3 linked regions of the Caenorhabditis elegans genome follow. The protein of the gene in region 1 interacts with the protein of each later gene in a pairwise test. Each region holds a gene or a part of one and is shown in the gene's direction. Other genes may lie near its edges.

Evidence for each region. The genes of interacting proteins can lie anywhere in the genome.
Region 2: the proteins of taf-9 (region 1) and taf-12 interact in a two-hybrid assay, tested with the Caenorhabditis elegans proteins (one large-scale study listed by BioGRID).
Region 3: the proteins of taf-9 (region 1) and flh-1 interact in a two-hybrid assay, tested with the Caenorhabditis elegans proteins (one large-scale study listed by BioGRID).

Annotation. Positions count from the first base shown.
Region 1 is NC_003281.10:13,621,185-13,627,625, forward strand, and holds taf-9 (Transcription initiation factor TFIID subunit 9), read left to right. Parts: upstream 1-3,091; 5' UTR 3,092-3,099; coding exon 3,100-3,243; intron 3,244-3,298; coding exon 3,299-3,582; intron 3,583-4,596; coding exon 4,597-4,720; 3' UTR 4,721-4,823; downstream 4,824-6,441. Other genes in the region: hip-1 (STI1 domain-containing protein), read right to left, coding at 265-478, 522-887, 936-1,039; T12D8.9 (Protein PFC0760c-like), read left to right, coding at 1-100; mlc-5 (Myosin-2 essential light chain), read left to right, coding at 2,139-2,216, 2,265-2,401, 2,452-2,558, 2,674-2,780; T12D8.5 (uncharacterized protein), read right to left, coding at 4,848-5,141, 5,184-5,232, 5,280-5,344; arrd-17 (Arrestin domain-containing protein 17), read right to left, coding at 5,934-6,033.
Region 2 is NC_003281.10:11,862,032-11,871,269, reverse strand, and holds taf-12 (Transcription initiation factor TFIID subunit 12), read left to right. Parts: upstream 1-1,988; 5' UTR 1,989-1,995; coding exon 1,996-2,091; intron 2,092-2,414; coding exon 2,415-2,547; intron 2,548-5,063; coding exon 5,064-5,245; intron 5,246-5,549; coding exon 5,550-5,645; intron 5,646-6,137; coding exon 6,138-6,323; intron 6,324-7,667; coding exon 7,668-7,871; intron 7,872-8,659; coding exon 8,660-8,791; 3' UTR 8,792-8,877; downstream 8,878-9,238. UniProt on the Caenorhabditis elegans protein: Part of the general transcription factor complex TFIID. Plays a role in recruiting taf-4 to the nucleus and thereby activating transcription initiation by RNA polymerase II, as part of the TFIID complex.
Region 3 is NC_003282.8:9,260,058-9,266,028, reverse strand, and holds flh-1 (FLYWCH transcription factor 1), read left to right. Parts: upstream 1-1,765; 5' UTR 1,766-1,797; coding exon 1,798-1,814; intron 1,815-2,326; coding exon 2,327-2,552; intron 2,553-2,600; coding exon 2,601-3,371; intron 3,372-3,417; coding exon 3,418-3,927; 3' UTR 3,928-4,221; downstream 4,222-5,971. Other genes in the region: Y11D7A.19 (NADH dehydrogenase [ubiquinone] 1 alpha subcomplex subunit 13), read left to right, coding at 1-219; col-120 (Nematode cuticle collagen N-terminal domain-containing protein), read left to right, coding at 4,276-4,352, 4,403-4,487, 4,534-4,633, 4,681-5,360. UniProt on the Caenorhabditis elegans protein: Probable transcription factor. Binds to the DNA sequence motif 5'-[AG]GGCGCCG-3' in the promoters of target genes, including micro-RNA genes, in order to repress expression, and acting redundantly with flh-2.

The DNA of each region.
Region 1 (6,441 bases):
CTTGTCTTGTCGCGAAGCAATGGGTCTTCCACCAAAGAAGAAGGCACCAATGGGTCCCAACGGCAAGCGGTTGTGTCGCAAAGTGAAGAAAGACGACTGATCTCCCTGTTTCCCTGTGCCTTTTTTTTTAGTTTAGTAACACCCGGCTGAGCCATTTTATCGGTCATATGTCATTTTCCCGTCAATTCTTGTAACTATTCAGACAATAATGACGTTTAGACTTTCTTTTTTCTCTGAAATAAAATTTTCAAATGCAATTCTTACATTCGGCTCGACCTCCTTGAGCCACTCGTTGGCGGCTTCATCGTAATCCAGTTTGCAAGCTGTGGCGAGGTCGGTCTTTGCCTCGACCCACTTGCCGAGAAGACGATTGGCACGACCGCGGAATTTGTAGCCTTGTGCCGAGTCTGGGTTGATAGAGATCGCTTTGTCACAATCAGCAATCGCTGCGACCGGACGTTTGAGCTTAAGAAGGACGCTGAAAAATGCGATTATTCAGGTTTTGAAAAGAAAATCCTCACTTGGCTCTCTTGGCGTGAAGCATTGCAGATCCTGGATTAGCCTCAATTGCGGCGGTGAAGTGAGTGAGGGCTGTGTCGAAATCGCCGTTGGAAAACGCCTCTTGGGCTTTTCCTCTCTCCTCGGAGGCCTTTTCGATCTCATCCTCGGTGGCTTCTTTGGCAGAGTCTCCCATTGGCAAAGCCACCGCCTCTTCTGGCTCGATGACTCCCTCGTTGTCAATTTTCGGGAATGGAATCTCCTCCGGCTTCGGGATTTCTGGCTCTGGAGTTGCCTCGGCGGCTGGAGTTTCCTTCTTTGGCTCCTCAGACATCGGGCACTTTCCTTCTGGCTTGTCAGCTGGTTTTGGGGGAAGAGTGGCTCCAAGGCTGAAAATGTGGCACATGTTTGAGCTGAATTTGTACTAGAAAACTTACGAAACAAGGTAATCCTTAAAAAATCCAAATTCCGGGGCGTGCAAAACCGCCGGGTTCGCTTGGCACATGCCAACGAATTGCTTGAGCAATGCGACGTGGTCCATTTTCTGGAAGGTAAAAGCTTTGGAGTTTATTTTAAATCATTTAAAGGAATAGGTTAAGAATCAAAAAATAGAGAATTGAAGTGTTTATTCAATTTGTTTGGAAGTGTAAACAATATTGCAAACAGCACGTGATGCCGCCAGAGGTGTTCCGACTACGCAAAGAGGGGATTTAAAGTGAAAAATAGATAAATACCTGATAATTTAGATCAAAAAATTAGAATAACGCCTTTTAAACCAAAAAACTCCTTTGAATTATCGAAAATTCTAGAAATTCTCGAGAAAAATAAATTTCAAAACAGGCATATTCTGTGCATTTGCGCGTGGGATCTAGCGCCCGTTGTGCATTGCGCCATGGCATTTGAAATTGGCGCCCGAAAATTTTTTGTTTTATATCAATTTTTTGGCTTATCGATAATTATCCTTGAAATTCTGCAGAAAAATAGATTTTTCTGTAAAATTTCGCAGGAATTGTATTCAGCACGTAATGTGCATGGTTTCCGTGGCAACTTGGGCGCTCTTTGCTTCTCTGTGCTCTATGCTCATGCCGCAACTCGAAAATTCGAATTTTAATTCTAATTGCCCTCTGTTAACCCTCTTTTTCCCGCCGGATAACCTCCAAACTATTGGTATCTTGTCGATGAATCGGTGAGAAAAAGTTCCGAACAACAAGAATTCGGGATGTTGTTCTTCCTCGCGTCTCCACCATCTCCACACACTCTCACGCGGTTGAACGGACAGTCAGGACACCGCCGCGCGGGGAAACTGCCCGTTTTGGTCGTCTCTTCTGCTGTGTGTGTCTACTATTCAAATAAACTCGCCAATCGATCGCCATTTCAGTTCATGTGCGGTGAATAATGTGTTGTGAAACTCGTTTTTCTCGGGAAATAGCCGAGAAAGGCTGAATTTTTGCTTGAGAATTTCTGGAAGGCATGAAATGTTTTCAGCTCTCTTCGAAAATCTTCTACCGCCCACCCATTTTCCTCCCGAATTGTTTCGTCCCCGTGACTCATTCTCTCTTTTATCGCCAACTTCTCACTCACTGATAATCGATTTTCGTTTTCATCCCGTCTTCTCAATTTTCCAATTTCAGCTGTGAGAAATGGACGATTTGGCTGATTGTCGTGAGGTTTTCGCCTATTTTGACAGCAAAGGCGACGAGCGAATCTCTGTTCAGCAGGTTTTTAATTCAATATTTTACTTTTTTAATCCAAAATTCATATTTCAGGTCGGTGATGTGCTCCGCGCGCTCGGCCAGAACCCAACAGAAGCCGAAATTCACAAATGTGTCGGCTCGTTCGATCGGGAAGCTCGGCTTTCATTCGAGGACTTTGTCCCAATTTTCCAGTCGGTGTCCAAGAATCGGTTCGTGGCGAATTTTCAGTTAATAAATTTCAATTTCTACATAATTTCAGTGAAAAGCACACCGTTGAGGAGTTCGTCGAGGGGTTGTCGCATTTCGACAAGGAGGGAAACGGAATGATCAATGTCGCAGAGCTCCGACACTTGCTCACCACTCTTGGTAGGATTTTGAGTGAATATTATCAAAAAATTAATATATAAGTAGCTTTTCAAAAATGTTCTGCTGGTCTATACAATTTTAAAGTTTACCCCAATTTTATCAATTTTTTTTCAAGGAGAACGCCTATCCGATGAAGACGTCGATCAATTGCTCTCCGGACACAACGATTCTCACGGAAACGTCAATATCTCGGATTTCGTACGCGCTGTCATGAACTCCTAAAAAATAATCGAATTCAGCTGATGTAAATATATCATTTCCATTAATTTCCTCGGCATTTTCCACACAATCTATTTATTTATCGACTTTTTTGCATCCGTTAATTCTATTTCTTATTCGCTCTCTCCCAGTTCACCAAAAAAAACTTGCAACGATTCAGTGAACAACTTTGTATCCTCCGTGTTTTAAGATGAATTTTTCTAAATTTTAATTCTAATTTCATAATTTTTGTATTTCGTGTTACATCTCACATGATATTTCTGTATTTCCTCTCCGTTATTTTTGTGGGGAAATCCATATAATTGCATTTTCAGAAAGAAAAATGGCAGATACAGGAGAAAAAGACACAGAAACGACGGCAAGTGGTACCGATGGACACAGTAAAGAGGCGCTTGCTGTAATAAGCATGCTCCACGAGTGTGGAATTCAAGAGTTTGATCCACGCGTCGTTTCAATGCTTATGGATGTGAGAAAATACAAAATTGAGCTCTAAAAATTCAAAAAATAATGATTTTTTCCAGGTTCAATACGCAGTGACGTCAAAAATCCTCCAAATGTCAAGTGGACTGTCCAGGCATGCTGAAAAAGCGCAAATCGAGGCAGAAGACGTTCAAACGGCGGCCGACATGCTCGGCGTTCTGACCACAAACGCTCCGGACCGTGAGAAGATTCTGCAATTGGCGAATGACAAAAATCAGCAGCCCCTACCGCAAATTCGACACAATTATGGCCTGAAGCTGCCCAACGATCGATTCTGTCAATTACAGCAGAATTTTGTGTACAAAGCTGACGACAGTTATCAGCCGTACGTTTTTTTTCTCGATATATCTTGAAAAATCTGTAAAAATTTGATTTTAAACGGAAAGAAGGTATTTTAAAGTGGAGTACGACCAGTGGGGAAACTATTAAAAACCATTCCTATGGTTCAAAAATGACAAAATAACAATAAAAACTCACAATAGAACTTTTAAAAAAATTATGATACTTTTCCTTTTTTACACCGCATTTTTAAATGAATATTCAAAACATTGAATTATTCAAATTTAATTCTCACGTGAATCATTTTCAGGCTTATGGGGTTATTCAAGTAATGTAGCAAAATGTATTTAAATACATTTGTGACGTCACAAATGTATTTAAATACATGTTTTTATATACTTGAATACAGTTGTGACGTAATTAATCTACACTTTTTAATTTTCCGACACTACTTGAATAACCCCATTAGAAAACAAAATTACAGAAAAAGTTCACATTTTTATCCAAGAAAATGTTCCAGAAAAATGCGGGGTAGAAAAGGAAAAGTACCAAATTTATAGAAGATTTTTTGTTTCAAGTAAAAAAAGGTGTTGTTTGGAGCCACCTTTCGAGAAATCGAAAACACTTTCGCATTTTCGTGCCCCCAAAATAATTAAATATGAATGCATAAGACATGGAATAAGTTTTTTTTAATCGATAACTTCCAAAAACATTTGTTAAAAACTAAGTTTTCACCGCTTTTTGAGCCGAAATATAAATTTTTTCCGAAATTTTCATTCTAAAAATTTACAGAAATTCTATATTTAAACTTGTCGATTTTCAATGCTTTTTGTGGCTACTGTCAGTTTCATTTGAAAAATATTGATTCAAATTTGCATTTTCATCTCAAAAATTGTTTTTTCGAATCAAAAATACAAAACCTTGACACAAAACTAAAAGTCACATATTTTCCGACAATATTCCATTTAGTTATTGTTTTTAAATCTTTATGGCATGCGTTTTTTTTTTCTGTAGTAAAATGAAATTATACATATCAAATTCAAAATTTTCAAGTTTTCAGAATGGAAATGCAACAAGTCACCCATCAGCCACATATCATCGAACCACCAACACAAGTGCTACGGCCGGAGCATGTACAGAATATGCTCAAGCGAAGAGCTCCAGACGATGATTTTGACTCATAACTTTTTAATTTTGTTTTTTTTATGCCATTTTCTACTTTATCTAATCAATCCTGCCAATGATCTCTATGAAACCCAGATTTTTATTTATAAAATTCAAAAATTTACACAATTACAATTCAAAAACAATTCAATTATCCCCTCCACCTGTCACCGCATTTTTCAGCTCACTCGTCGACTCGACAATTTTGTTGGCTGCCATTTTCAAATGATCGTAACGGCTAGCCTTACGCATTGGCGGAACCTGACCAGCTTCCATGTACGTTTCGGGTGCGATTTCCGGAGCATCCACGTGTTTATTGTGCTCGGCGAGCAACTGCTCAGCTCGGTCGATCTCCTGTTTCAAAAGCTCGACGCGTTCTTTGTTGGATTGCGTCTCGCTTTCGATTCGGCATTGCTCCTTGCAGAGGTCGTATTCGGAGAGCTTCAATATATCCAAGTTTTTGGCTAAAAATTCAAATCCTACCTGCTTCTGGGGCGGCACCACCTTCTGCACGTAGATAACCTTCTGTGCCCTGAAAAATCGATAAAGATGGAAAAATCAACCAATAAACTGGCTCACTTTGGTTTTTTCGACTCTCCGAGGCTACATACGGCTAGCAGAAAAACTGCGAGAAGGAATTTCATTCTGAAAAACGACACGAATTAAGTTTTAGCATTTAAAACCCCGAAGAACTTTCCAAGTTGAAAACAGTATGAAAAAGTAGGTCTCTCAGTGTAGGCATGAAAATGCTTGCCTGCCTCGTGTCTACTGTCAAAATACATGTAATTAGAAAGTAAAATTAGAAACGCGTAAATCTATGCAAACACCGGACACTTAATCATCACAGAAATCAGACTATAGGCAGGCAGGCAGGCATTGAAGCTCACTCACGAAAACTTTAAAAAGTTGAATGAAACTTATCTCCTCACACCCTATTTATAGATAAAAATGCAAAACAACAAGCACCAAAAACCGTATGACCGTCACCAATTGACGCAAACCGACAAGACATTGTGTGCTCTGAGAAGACGCAGACCTCACCACGGGGTTCAGGTGATAAGGCTTTTTAGGGAATTGTTTGTGATAGTGAATTAGGGAATCAGAAAATATGTTTTTTAAACTTGTTTTTTAAAAAAAATCTGAATCGAAAGTGCAACAAAATTTGAAAAAGCATGGAATTTATTGATTATCCCCTCCAAGCGAAAGTAACACTCGAGACAAAATGATAAAATATTAATCGGTATAAAATGGATATTTGGGCGCAAATGAGGCTTCACCGAACTGTGCTTGCTCCTTCTCCTCTGATATGTCACTGGCGCCGAAGAATGATTCTCTGAAAAATTTCAGGGAATTTGTAAAAACTATAAAAATTTTAAAAACTAAAAAATTGCGTATTGCGCAACATATTTGACGCGCAAAATATCTCGTAGCGAAAACTACAGTAATTTTTTAAATTACTACTGTAGCGCTTGTGTCGATTTACGGACTCGATTTTCGGAATAAATTAAAATCAAGCAAAAATGAGAAAATAATACGAAGAAACGAAGGAAAATGGAATATCTCTGACATTAAATATTTGTAAAAAAATTCATTTAGACAATCAAGCCCGTAAATCGACACAAGCGCTACAGTAGTCATTCAAAGAATTACTGTAGTTTTCGCTACAAGATATTTTGCGCGTCAAATGTACGCATTCCCTGAGTTTTGTGTTCCCGTAATAGAAGTAAAAAATTGTGGCAGC
Region 2 (9,238 bases), 1.8 Mb from region 1:
AATTATTTTACAGCTGAATATGTGCTTTTTTAATTTCAGATTTGATGGCCTAATTGGGAAATTCTAGGCCACCAGCCATTGCCGATGAACATATTACAAATTTCAAAAAATTATTTTCTTCAAAACCAAACACCCAAATTTTTTTTAACTACCAATCTACTAACCGATTATACTAACCGATGTCTGAATAATAATATAAGCACAAAAAATTAATACCCACCGTTCAAAATCTGACTGAAATTCCAGTTTTAGTTTAGCTCCCAATTAATATGTATTCCAATTTTCAAAAAAATTATTTTATTCAAAACCAATCACACAAATTTTTTAAAACTTCACCAATATACTAATTGATCTTTGAATAATAATATAAACACAAAAAATTAATACCCACCGTTCGAAATTTGTCTGAAATTTCAGTTTTAGTTTAGCTGAAAATGAATAAAAATTCAAATTTTCAAAAAATTATTTTCTTCGAAACCAAACACCCAAATTTTTTTCAAACTTTACCAATTTACTTACTGATGTCTGAATAATAATATAAACACAAAAAATTATTACCCACCGTTCAAAATTCGACTAAAATTCAAGTTTTTCTTTAGCTGAAATTTAGTAAAAACTCAATTTTCAAAAAAACATTATTTTAAAACCAAACACCCAAATTTTTTTTTAACTTTACGAATATACTCGATTATGACCGAACAAAATTTTACGCTAATATCCAGTTTTACTTTGACTTTTCAAAACCCTCATGCGCCTTTAAACCTCGGTGTACTGTAATAACTCGATATTTTAATTGTTTTTATTGCCTTTTCCTCAACCAATGTTAGATAAAATATGTTTTTCCATTTCCAGTGATCACATGGTACAGTTATATTCAATTAAAGAAAACAATCGCGGCGAGACCCAAAAATGTACTTCCCAATTCGATCCCAATTCTTTCGCAAAATAATGACAGAGTGGACAACAAAATGTGACATGTTTGTTTTTATAAGACGTCCGCCGTCGTCTTTTTTCTGTTTACTTGCACTTCCTCGCAACGGCGTGGCCTAGGTTTTCCCACGGCCACGCTCATTTAGGTTCTAATAAACCACACTAGTGAGAGAGAGAGAGAGATAGTTGCGAGAAGAGACGGAAAAGAGCTAGAGAGGTCTCTCGTTCTCTTCATTGGCCTCAATTTCTCGCCACCACCCCCTACGTCTCTATTCCCCCAATGTCCTACATTTTTCGGATCGTTTTTCCCTTATATCAGAATCTGCCTAATTTTACGAGGTTTCGGCGCATAATATTATGTGCAATTCGAGAATAAAACTTTGAATATTTATTAGTTTAGGTCTTTTTCATTGATTTTTTCCAATAAATTCAATTTGATTTTAAATTGCTTGAAAATCGCCACCGTATCACTTTAAAGGCGCATTGCTGTTGTTTAACTTTGGGTCTCACAGCGAACCGAGTTTCAGTCATTAATTTTGATTTTTCCTTGGTTTTTTTTAAAAGAAAATTCTCAAAGTTAAAATTTTCACTCGGTTTTAAAATTAATAATAGCTAGCAACTATAATTCTGGAAAAAACATAAATTCACTTTAAATTGCCTAAAAATACAACCGTATAAGTTTAAAGGCGCATTGCTATTTTTAAGTTTGGGTCTCACAGCGAACCGAGTTTCAGTTATTAATTTTGACTTTTCCTCGGTTTTTTAAACTTTATTTGAAGAAATTCTTCAAAATTAAAATTTTTCTCGTAATATTTAATCAAAAATAATAATTAGCAACTAAAAATTCGGAAAAAAATAGAAATTGCTTGAAAAGTTTCACCGTATAACTTTAAAGGCGCAATGCTTTTGTTTAACATTGGGTCTCACAACGACCGAGGTACTGTGGAAAATTTATCGAATTTAACGAATTTATTCATTTTTATGAATATATTTCCATTTTCCTCGGTTTTCCGAAAGATTTTAAGCTTTAAAATCATCAAAAAAAAACTTAGTTGCAGATAAAAAATGAAAATGGAAGAATTCTCACCTCCAACTTCACCGAATAATCACGTAATCGTGCAGGCGAACCCGCAAATCGCCGCCGCTCTCTCCACGAATTCTGTAAGCGATTTGTGTGTCCGCTCTCTAATTATTGCTTTCTGTCCCAACAATGACTCACCGGCCAGCCGACAAAAAAAAAACAAAAAAAACGAATAAAAATAATAAAAAATCGGAGCGCCTCTCCGTTTTTTTTCCCCCGTAAACGTCCAAAGTGTATGTGTATTATTCTCATATCGATTGTGCTTCTCTTCTTCCCCCGACAAAACCATTTCCATCACAAAAGCTTCTCGTCGTCCTCTGTCCATATATATATATATATTTACTAATACTAAAAAATGTGGCCCTACCATCATGGATATCACGTCTATCACCCACATTTTCAGCCAATGCAGCAGGGAATTCCGCCACAAGGCCATCAGAATCCCAACGAACAGCAGCAGCAGCAGCAGTTTGTGGGCCAACCGCCGATGGGTGGAATGGGCGGCCCGATGAGAATGCAGATGCCACAGCAGCAAAGTATGAAGAAAAAACTCCTAAAAAATGCCTCAAATTCAGAAATAATTCCGTGAAAAATGAAAAAAAAATTGCTCAAAATTTAGCTGAAATCTCCAATTTTGTCCTATTCCGCCTATTTTAGTCGGCTATTTTACGTTTTTTCCGAAGAAAAAAGAAAAAAATCGCGAAAAAGTGAAAAAGTTAACTCGAAAAACATGATTTTTCGAATTACCTCCAAAATGAGAAATGCCTGAGCAATCAGCGATTCGCTCCGCCCACTTTTCGACCAATCAGGTAGATTGGGCGGAGTTTGAAGATGCTGATTGGTAGGAAAATACTCGAAAATTGGTAAATTAAATATTTAAAAAAAGCGATTTTTAAAATGGAATTCTTTGAATTTTTTAAAAGCGATATCTACATTTACACAAAGCCGCCTTAAATTACACCTAAATTAACGAAAAACGTGAAATAAATATGCAAATTAGGATGAAAATTGAATAAAAATCAATTTCTAGCCACCCTGGCACCGAAAAAATGGAGATTTTCGCTAGAATTAGGCGATTTTCGGAATGTCTGGTAGATCATGGTGTGATCTACAAAAAATGCGGGAATTTTTGGCCCAAAAAAATGTGACGTCAGCATGTTCTTAACCATGCAAAATCAGTTGAGAACTCTGCCGCATTTTTTGTAGATCAACGTAGATCAAGCCGAAATGAGACACTCTGACACAATGTGTGGTTAGGAAATTCGGAAATTCAGCAAAATTGGAACAGCGACCAATCAGCGACCGGCTCCGCCCACTTTTGGACTAATCAGACGGAGTGGGCGGAGTTTGTAATCGCGATTTTCTCCGTTTTTTTTTTTGTGGTTTTTCTGAATTTTAATGTATTTTTGGATATTTTTAAAGAGAGTGTAGTTGAATTTTTTTTTTATTGCTGTATTAGACTCAAAATTGTCTGAAAACATCGAATTTAATAATGAAACTTCTTGAAAACTTTTCAGGAAAAAGTTATGATGGCTCAAAAAATGGCCTAAAATTAGTGCATTTCTTGCATTTTCAACTTGATTTAGGTATTTAAAAATCAATGGACGGCGAGATTTTTAAATTTTTTTAACGATTTTTTTCCGTTTTTTTTTGTGGTTTTTCTGAATTTGAAACTATTTTTTGGATATTTTTAAAGGTGGTGTAGTCGAATGTTTTTATTTGCTTTATTAGACTCAAAATTGTCTGAAAACACCGAATTTCATAGTGAAACTTTTTGAAAACTTCTCAAAAAATAAGTTATGACGGCTCAAAAAATGACCTAAAATTAGTTAAAGTTTGAAATTTGACCAACTTATCAATGTCGCAGCGGCTGGAAACATTTTTTTTTGAAATCACCGTCAAATTTTGAGTATATAAGTTAATTACCTTGTGTTTTAAATTTGATTAAGGTATTTAAAAATCGATGGACGACGAGATTTTTAAATTTTTTAAAACCAAATCTCGCCGTCCATCGACTTTAAAATACTTAAATGAAGTTGAAAACGCAAGATAATTAAATTGTATACTTAAAATTTGACGGTGATTTCGAAAAATTGTTTCCAGACGCTTGGCTAGTCGGTAAAATTTCAAATTTTAACTAATTTTAGGTCATTTTTTGAACCGTCATAACTTATTTTTTGAGAAGTTTTCAAACAGTTTCACTATGAAATTCGGTGTTTTCAGACAATTTTGAGTCTAATAAAGCAAATAAAAACATTCGACTACACCACCTTTAAAAATATCCAAAAAAAATAGTTTCAAATTCAGAAAAACCACAAAAAAAACGGAAAAAAAATCGTGATTTTCAAATTTTACTAAAATTAGCTCTCCGCCCACTCCGTCTGATTGGTCCAAAAGTGGGCGGAGCCGGTCGCTGATTGGTCGCTGTTTTAATTTTGCTGAATTTTCAAATTTCCTAACCACACATTGTGTCAGAGTGTCTCATTTCGGCTTGATCTACGTTGATCTACAAAAAATGCGGCAGAGTTCTCAACTGATTTTGCATGGTTAAGAACGTGCTGACGTCACATTTTTTGGGCCAAAAATTCCCGCATTTTTTGCAGATCACACCATGATCTACCAGACATTCCGAAAATCGCCTAAAATCTCCATTTTTTCGGTGCCAGGGTGGCTAGAAATTGATTTTTATTCAATTTTCATCCTAATTTGCATATTTATTTCACGTTTTTCGTTAATTTAGGTGTAATTTAAGGCGGCTTTGGGTAAATGTAGATATCGCTTTTAAAAAATTCAAAGAATTCCATTTTAAAAATCGCTTTTTTAAAATATTTAATTTACCAATTTTCGAGTATTTTCCTACCAATCAGCATCTTCAAACCCCGCCCACTCCGTCTGATTGGTCCAGAAGTGGGCGGAGCGGTACGCTGATTGGACGATGTTCCAATTATGCTGAATTTCCGAAAATCGCCTAATTCTAGCGAAAATCTTCATATTTTCGGTGACTACACCGTCTCTTTAATAAGGCTTCTCATGAAATAATTCGTAATTTTAGTCCGCCAAATGCCATACCCATCACCACAAATGCGTGCGGGCCCTCCACCACCACAGCAGCAGCAGCAGCAACACTTTCAACAAATGGGTATTCCACAACAGCAGCAGCCCCAACAATTCACACCGAATGGGCAATCAATGCAAATGCAACAGAGACCAATGCAGATGGGCATGGCTCAAGGGGTACGGGGGCGGTTATTATCTGGGAAATTTGAATTTAAAAAAAGCTTCCGTTTGAGACCCAAGAAAAACCTTTTTTCGGGAATTTGGGTCCACGGGATCAAAAATCTCTGAAAAATTGTTCTAAAAAATGTTACAAAACAATTTCTGCAGTGGAGCAGCGGAGCAGCGGTGAAAATTTCAAGGCTTGTATAATTTCTTCAAAAAAAAAATTTTTTTTTCGCATATTTTGGGCATTTTTAAGACTTTTTCTGCAGTTATTTTTGGAAATCCGCTTAAAAATCCTCTAATTTTAAAATGTTTCCAGCCAGGACCATCTGGACATTTAATGGGAATGGTCGGAGGGCCTCCGCCACAACATATGATGCAGCAGCAAGGAGGTGGTGGACCACCACAATTTGTGGTGAGTTTCCGGCAAAATCGGCAAATTGCCGGAATTGAAATTTCCGGCAAATCGGCAAATTGCCGGAATTGAAATTTCCGGCAAAACCGGTAAATTGCCGGAATTAAAATTTCCGGCAAATCGGCAAATTTCCGGAATTGAAATTTCCGACAAAATCGGCAAATTGCCGGAATTGAAATTTCCGACAAAATCGACAATTTGCTGAAATTAAAATTTCCGGCAAATCGGCAAATTGCCGGAATTGAAATTTCCGACAAAATCGGCAAAATGTCGGAATTCAATTTTCCCGCAAATTGCCGGAATTAAAATTTCCGGCATATCGGCAAATTGCCGGAACTAAAAAGGCAACGTTTACCGATCGAGCTCGTAAAAAACCGGCAAATTCGCCAAATTTGTCGTGGCGTAATATTTTTTGGAGCTCAAAAAGAGCCCGATTTAATGGAAAAACTATAAAAACCATTAGTTTTGGGCAAAATTTTTCAAAATTTCCAGCCAAACTCGTCTCCAATGCCGCTGCCTCCTCAACAAATTATGCAAGTACAACATCAGCAGCAACATCAGCAGCCACCACCATCTCAACAAATTCAACAGCCTCCAATTCCACAGCCACAACAGCAACAGGCACCGCCACCTCAAATGATACCGGCCGCTGTTCCGTATGGAAGTATTATGGAAAAGGTGCAACAAAAAACCGGCAAAAATACTTAGAAATTTCGGCAAAAAAACCGGCAAAAATACTTGAAAATTTCGGCAAAAATACTTGGAAATTTAGGCAAAAAAACCGGCAAAAATACTTGGAAATTTCGGCAAAAAAACCGGCAAAAATACTTGGAAATTTAGGCAAAAAAACCGGCAAAAATACTTGGAAATTTCGGCAAAAAAACCGGCAAAAATACTTGGAAATTTCGGCAAAAAAACCGGCAAAAATACTTGGAAATTTAGGCAAAAAAACCGGCAAAAATACTTGGAAATTTCGGCAAAAAAACCGGCAAAAATACTTGGAAATTCCGGCAAAAAAATCGGCAAAAATACTTGGAAATTTCGGCAAAAAAGCCGGCAAAAATACTTGGAAATTTAGGCAAAAAAACCGGCAAAAATACTTGGAAATTTCGGCAAAAAAACCGGCAAAAATACTTGGAAAATTGATTTTTATTTAATTTTGAAATTTTTTCAGAAAAAATCGAATAAAGCTCAGATTTTCCGATTTTTTTTCAAAGAAAATCGAAAAAAATTCAGGTTTTTTCAGGAAAATTTAAAAAATTTTCTGATTTTTTAGTTTTTTTTTCAATTACAAATTTCTCTAGCAAAAATTCGCAAAAAAAAAATTTTTTGGATTGTCTTTTCATAGAAAATGAGCAAATTTCAGATTTTTCGGTCTTTTTTTTCAGAGAAAATAGGAAAAAAAATGCACAAAGAATTCACGGAAGGGGACGAAAAAGCTATAGATTTATCAAAAAATATGCTGATTTTTATTGAAAAAAGTGATTTTTTTTTTCTATAAAGTATTGAAAAATGGCCGGAATTTATTGAAAATTCGATTTTTTTTAAACGAAAAACGAAAATTTCCAATTTTTCAATACAATTTTTAAATTTTTTTTTGAACTTTGAAAAAAATTCGAACTTCTGCATACACTAGTTTTTGCTTTGCTCCTGAAAAAATAATGAAATTAAAAATGGAATTTTTTGTAAATTTGCTATTAAAAATTCGATTTTTAAATTTTCACTGAAAAAAATGCCTAAATTTTTGGTAATTTTTCTTGTAAAAATTCTTGTAAAATTAAGAGTTTTTGTTTAATTTTCTAATTAAAAAATTTTAAATTTTCGATTTTCAAGATTTTCAAACAAAAAAATCGAAAATTATAACAATTAATAAAAAAAAAAAAAAAAATAGCCTAAAATTTTCGTAGTTTTTTTTTTTCAAAAACTCTATAAAATTTTTTTTTCCGATTTTTTGATTTTCACTGAAAAAACCGAAAATTCTTATTTTAAAAAATCTTCTTTTTTTTAAAATTTTTTTTTCAGTCAAAACTGGATGATTTGATGCAACAAATCAGCTCAACAACAGTACTCGAAGAAAATGTAAAAGATGTTCTTGTGGAGTACGCCGACGATTTTGTCAGTTCTCTAATCGATAAAGCATGCAAAATGATCAAGAATCGGGAGGTGAAGAAAATTGAATCACGGGATATCGAATTTATTCTCAAGAATGTCTATAATATGCCAGTGGTACGGCGTTTTTATTACTGATTTTTATGTTTTTTTTTGATATTTAAAATGGTCTAGAAAATACGGATTTCGTGAAAAAAAAATTAGAAAAAAACGCCTAGTTTTAGCTAAAATCTCTAATTTTTGACTATTTTTTTGGAAAAAAAATCTTCTTTTTTTTGTTGATAAAAATTTTCATCACAAAATAGCTTTAAAAAACCGGATTTCGTAAAAAAAAAACGCTTAATTTTAGCTGAAATATCTACTTTTTTACCGTTTTTCGATTCTCCAGTATTAAAAATTTTACCTGAAAAATACAGAAAATCGGGTTTTTTTTTCGATTTTTAGTGTTTTTCAGAGAAAAAATGTCTAGAAAATATTGAAATATTCATTAGAAATTTTTTTTTCTCCGAAAAACCTTGTAAAATCGGAAAAAGAAGAAAAAAAAAGTGTTAGGATATATGGATTTATCAAAAATATGCAAAAAAATGTGCAAAAATGTGCAATAACTGTGCAAAAATGTGCAATAAATATGCAAAAAAATGTGCAAAAAATGTGCAAAAAATGCGCAAAAAATGTGCAAAAAATGTGCAAAAAATGTTCAAAAAATGTGCAAAAAATGTACAAAAAATGTTCAAAAAATGTTCAAAAAATGTGCAAAAAATGTTCAAAAAATGTGCAAAAAATGTACAAAAAATGTTCAAAAAATGTGCAAAAAATGTGAGACAAAATTCGAGTTTTTCAGCTAAAATTAGGTGTTTTGGCTCGATTTTTAATCTAAAAAATCAGAAAAAATTGTTAAATTTCAGGTTCCACGCGCTGCTTCGCACAATTTTGGGTCTCAAACGGAAGTTATTGATTTATCGAAGGAAAAGTTTGTTCCAACGGAAGCACACAAGCAACGGGTTGCTCTACTCAAGAAACAAATCAAGAAACTTTAAAAATTAATTTTTTTTTGTTTTAATTTTAATTTTCCATTCAAAAACCTCCTTTTCTCCGGGTCTTCCACGATGAATTTCCTCTTTTTATGACAAATTTTTTTTCTTCATTTTTTTGGTTTTTAAAAGGTTTCAAGTCCTTGAGTAATACCTCCAACACTTCAGATTTGGTAAATTTCGTGAGAAATTAGAATTTTTTTTTGAAAAATTCTTGAAAAAATCCAAATTTCAGACAGAAAATCGGCCGAGAATGCGATTAAAGTGAAGAGCAAAGAGCAAATTTATATGTGAGTTTTTTTTTTCTAACTTTTTTAATGATTTGAATCTTTGAAAATTATGAGAAAAAATGCGAAAAATGTGAAAAACCAATAAAAATTTAAGAAATTTTTTTTTTCGAATTTTTTATCGATTTTTGAAAAATATCAGTGATTTTCTAAATTTTTTATCGGA
Region 3 (5,971 bases), on another chromosome or scaffold:
ATTCCAGAGCACTGGTCACAGCGAGCACAAGATAATATTACAATGGGATTTGGTTTTGCTCAGAGTTGGATGAACACCATAAAACCATCGAGAAATACAGTAGAAGAACGAATAAGACTCCCACAAATATATCATGTTCCAAGAAAAGAATTCGTTTGTTTGGTGGCACTCACATCGGTTGATGAAGCTCTCTTCCACACAATATTAATGTTCCCATGACTTCTGAGGTCTTTTAAAATGCATTTCTTCTCTTCTTCAGATCGAAATTTTGTATACATCTCAGCACCCCATAAACAAAAGTTAATTTTCAAAAAATGTTTGATAGATTTGATTCTGTTGAATATTTTCGGCTGCATACTTTAAGCAACAAGTGGATTTTACACCAAATTGTTAACTGTGAGCCGAAAAGGCTGCATCCCTTTTTTGATAAAGAACCAAAGCCAAACCACGTACGGGCTAGAAGAGGAAGAGATTATGATCGTTTCTGAATTTTCAAATAATATTGTAATGTTATTTTCTTCATATGTGCTAGTAAAATGCTTTTTATGGGATGATGCAAGTGAATTTTTCTACATTTCTCGACAATTTATTTGCAATGCAAGTAAGCAGCATAATGACGCAAAATTCGCCATTTTTTTTACATTTCTCTACATTTCTCGACATTTGAAAAAAACACTCATTTTTCGTCAAAACCACGTCTTTAGTTCACGACTTTACCTTCCCAGACGTTCACGTTTGTTAAAAGTAGTGTAAAATGGGAAAAATAAAAATAATTTGAGAATTTTAAAAGATAGATGCGTGGCCATTCAACGTGGTGTTGCAAAACAGCCAAATTTGAAAAATCAAACTTGATCATTTTTAAATTTTAGAATTCAAAACCACGTTGAATGACCACGCATCTATCTTTTAAAATTCTCAAATTATTTTTATTTTTCCCATTTTACACTACTTTTCACAAACGTGAACGTCTGGGAAGGTAAAGTCATGAACTAAAGACGTGGTTTTGACGAAAAATGAGTGTTTTTTCCCACGTCGAGAAATGTAGAGAAATGTAAATAAATGTAAAAAAATTGCGAATTTCGCGTCATTTCGCTGCTTACTTGCATTGCAAATAAATTGTTGAGAAATGTAGAAAAATTCACTTGCATCATCCCATTAGAGATGAATTCCTATTTGAAACTGCTGCAACTATGTAAAAAATATATATGGTGACTTATTGATATTTCATTTTCCATTTTCACAACCTCGTGGACCACCAAAGCAACATGCAATATTCTATTTTGTTTTTTAGGCCTGTTCAAATAAGTTTCCAGTGATACGCAATTTATCGTAGCCGTTATTGCACAAAAAACGTCAATGAGTGACAGTAGTCCACGCGCATAACTGTTCATCATTTTTCGTTTCATTTGTTTTTTCTCTGGACAGATCTGTGTTTCTCGCAATTTCTTTTCATATTAAATCGTTAAAATAGTAATTTTCAATTTCCAATTATAAGAAAACCGAAAGTTATTCTTATAATCTCTCAAATGCTTAAAAAACCAACCTAAATAAACAGAAGTTCCTTTTGGATTATTTTAAATTATTTTTGCCAAATCTAAAAATAAAACCAAAAATAAATCAAAATATTCTCAACTATGAGACATTTGTTTAAAAATCGTTTTTTTTTTCGCTTTTGTATTTTACAGGCAGTATTTGTTTTTTTACACACGTTGCCATCTTAATCTATTTTATTCGAAATTTTTATAAAATCTAAATTTATTTTCAGGACGGCGTCTTCCAATTATCTAATATCGGAGGATGTATTCGCCAGAATCGTAAGGCTCCTGCTCAATCATAAAAAAACGCTTGCCTCTATTGTTAATCCTACATGTCTCCCTTTTCTCACGTCTAGCGTTCTTCTCTCCCCTCCCAACATCGCCCTATCTACTGTAATCCAACGTCACCATCTGTCCCCGCTGCCTCCATGCCGTCGTCTTTTTTTGCTCCCGTTTGCTGCGATTGCCCTCCCACGAAGGACCTCTTTGGTGTAAACAGTGGAACGGACCCAAGAGTGCGCGTACGCGGTCCGCGAGCGGCTGACCGCGCACGTCATTAGAAGAGACAACAAATGAATCAGAGAGACGCAGAAGAAGGGACCATAATGTCCCGCCCTTTCCCCGTTGGGTTGAGAGACTTAGACCCCCGAACGCTGCTAATGTTACAAATATGTCATTCCAATAGGATTTTGGTCTACCGTCTGGCTGCATAGTTTTTTACTTCCTATTTTAACCTCATCACTCAATTGGTCTTATCTTCCATGTAACTTAGAATAATTTATTAATTTCAGAATGAACTCCAACATATCTTCTCCATCCCCTCCGTCGTCGTCTTCTCTTAATGCTCCAAGTCTTGCGGATGCTCCTGAAGTTAGATCCGATGATGGAGAAGCCGAAACTTCCGAACCATCGACTTCTGTCACAGCTGTACCAATGGAGATTGTGTCCCAAGCATCTACATCTGCTCCTGTTAACCAGTTGCTCGCGAGCGGAATTGATATGTCTAGCGTTATTAAAGTAAGTTTCCTCTATCCAAGATGTTATTTCATTTGATTGTTATTTCAGAACAACGCTGTTTTACAGGCACTTCTTGCCAGTGCCAGTGCCGGTGGATTCGGAGACAACGCAGGCCTCACCATGTCAAAATTATTGACCGCCGCTCTCGCCAATGGATCCACTGCGGTTGCTAAAAGAGATGCAGGTTCTCCACGTACTGATATCCCAAAGAAAACTCGTCTGAAAGTGTTTTCAAACGGATTTTTCATGACATTTGACAAGCTTTCATCATGTCAAAAGAAATATTTCTGGAGATGTGAATACAAGAACACTTGTAAAGCACGAATGCATACGGATATTGTTACTGAAAAGATCCTCACGTTTATCCATGAGCACAATCACAGTGCACCAATAGATGAAGAAGTTAGACTTTATGGATTGGACCCAACGAATATCGAAAGAAATCGTGTCTACATAGTTGGAAATGTTGCTGATCCAAATCAACGAAGAAAGATCCGAAAGCAAGTTGCGGATAGAGAAGCAGCTGCAAAGAGGCTCGTTCAACAGCAAGAAGAAGAACAACAGAAGCAACAAAGTGCATCATCAATTGTGGCGGCTCGAGCAGCTTATGCGCAAGCAATGCAGAATGGCTCAATACCCACATCTTCTGGGGTCGCGTCTTTTCTCCAGTCAACTTCGGCCACTGCTCCAATGACGTCTCATTCAATGCTCCTTGCGCAGATGCCATTTTTAAATAATATTAAAACGGAGATGTCAAATATGGTGAAAAACGAACAATTCACTCCTGAAAGATACACACAGCATATGTCTCCAAACTTGGTATGTCAACTTAGTGTTGAAAGTTTATTCTATAATAATTTTTAAGCCATTGCAGACCGCCACAATTGCTCCACTAATAATTCCAACAGAGAACTACGACTCACCTTCATATAGACAACCAGCAATCAAAAGAAAAGCTACTGATTTGACGAATGAAGAACATGATTTGAGAAGAGATCCGATGTTCCAGCCAACTTTCGAGCTTGCCAGAAAATTGAGAAAACTGTGGAAAGGAGAACCGAACAGATATCCAAGAACTACTACGACTCCGACTCATCATTTTGAATTCTTCCTTTCTAAAAATGATGGAACAGATGAGCATCTCTATGTTCCAATGAGAATCAATCTCCGTGATGAAGCACACTTAAAAGAGGCACTTCAAGACTTCTGTGGTCAACAATGTATCGGAATGCTTCTTTTCGGAATTTCACCAAAGATCAGTGTAATGTTCAATCAACCCATGTTGAATAATTGGGACAATAATCAATTCTTCCTGCTCGACATTTCAAATCCAAGCCGTTGGCGACTGATGTATGTGGATGATCAAGCTGTGTAATTTAACCGAATACTGATTGTTTTTTATATGTGTAAAATGTAAAATTTCCTCCACTCTCCACCTATCTCATTAAATATTTTCTGTGACATTTCTCCATCGAAACTGGTTTTTACCCAATGTAAACCTCATCCTAAGTCTACGATTCAATCTAAATCACATCTACCTCCCTTTTCCAGATGTTTTTTGAACCATTCCACTAATAATGTGTAATGTTATCTTTGACTTGCTATCAATTATCCTTATTTTTTAACGTGTTCTATCCGTTGTAGGATTGTAATAAAACAGTAAAGTGATAAGCGTGAATGATATAAAACACAGTTGAAAATGATTAGGTGATTGGAAGAAGAAATGAATTTGAAGAAGAATTTAGTGAATTCTGAAGAGGATGAACTTCGAAAAGTTGCTTTCGTGGCGACTGTTGTCAGGTATGTTCCGATTTCCACGTGGCAGAATAGTACAAGCTGGAAATTTTCAGTGCTGCTTCTGGAATCATGTGCATTATTCTAATTCCTGGGCTTTACACATATCTACAATATATTCAAAGCTCTGTTCAAACTGATGCAAGTGATTTCTATTCACATTTTGGTATTTATTCTGCATTTTTAGGTTGGATTTTGTGTTGACGGGGCTAAGAATCTGGAAAATATGTATGAATCAACGAAGGCTGTTGGTTCAGGGCCAGTAAAAAGACAAGCTGGATATGGAGGTAACTTGTAACTTTTGTGGGACTTTTTGAAACTAATTCAATATTAGCTTCTTCCCCCTCTCGAGCTTCTGGAAGTCATCCAGCTCCATCTCCATACGACGCTGCATCCACTTCTTCTTCATCTTCTTCCGATTCTTGTTGCAGCTGTGGAATTGGTCTTGCTGGGCCAGCAGGTTTCCCAGGTCGACCAGGACGAGATGGAATAGATGGACCAGCCGGAAAACCTGGACGAGATGGGCAAGATTTGGATGGAGAATCGTCTTCTGATGGATCACAAATTGAGCTTGATTGCCCAGCAGGACCACCAGGGCCACCAGGAAATCCAGGTCCTCAGGGTAATTCTGGGCGACCTGGAATGGATGGTATGCCTGGTAGAAATGGAAGATGCGGGAGACCAGGAGAGCAGGGAGAACGTGGACCAAATGGAGAAGATGGACGACCTGGAAGACGTGGAGACGATGGAATGCCCGGAACAGTTAACGAAATTCCAGGCCAAGCAGGTCCACCAGGTCTTCGTGGTGCTCCTGGAGCTACTGGATCGCAAGGACCACGTGGAAATGATGGTAGACCAGGAAACAAGGGACCAGCAGGACCACCTGGAGACCAAGGATTTGATGGAGCACCAGGAGGACCTGGAGCTGATGGAGAACCTGGAGCACAAGGACCTTTGGGAGCAAAGGGAGAATGTTCACACTGCCCACCTCCACGAACTGCTCCTGGATACTAATTTTTATCTGTTTTGTTGATTAGATTTAGTTTCTGTAAATAATGAACACTTTTAGCACTATTTACTTAAATTATTCAAAAAGTACAGTGACCTATCTGCGAAACACAACGCAAGACGAAGAGACACAGACATAAAAAACTACAATACTCCGTTCTGACGCTGCTCGTATTTTATTTTTTGCGTCTTATTTTTTTTAATTTTTGCACGTTTTGTTTAAAATTTACTTTAAATTTTTATTTAATGAATTCCCGACCTTAATTTTTGTAAAAATCGGTTTGCATTACACATTTTGTTAATATAAACTGTTAAAAATCAACTATCATCGCCCATACTTCTCCGAAATGAGCCAAAATTGAAATTTACGTCATGTTCTTCAACATTTAAAATCATTAGAAACGTTTGTTGATTTGAAATTAAAGTATAGCAATTTATTTGAAAACTCTCGTTTTCATGATATATGTACTGACAAATCTAAGGTAAATAATCAATTTCTAAGTTTAAAAGAGATCAAATTGTTTTCAGTTTAAGCATATTTAAATCTAAATCTTATCGGATTTCATTGTTTCTAGTTTTTATCGTACTGAATTCCAATCATTTAAATAATTATAGAA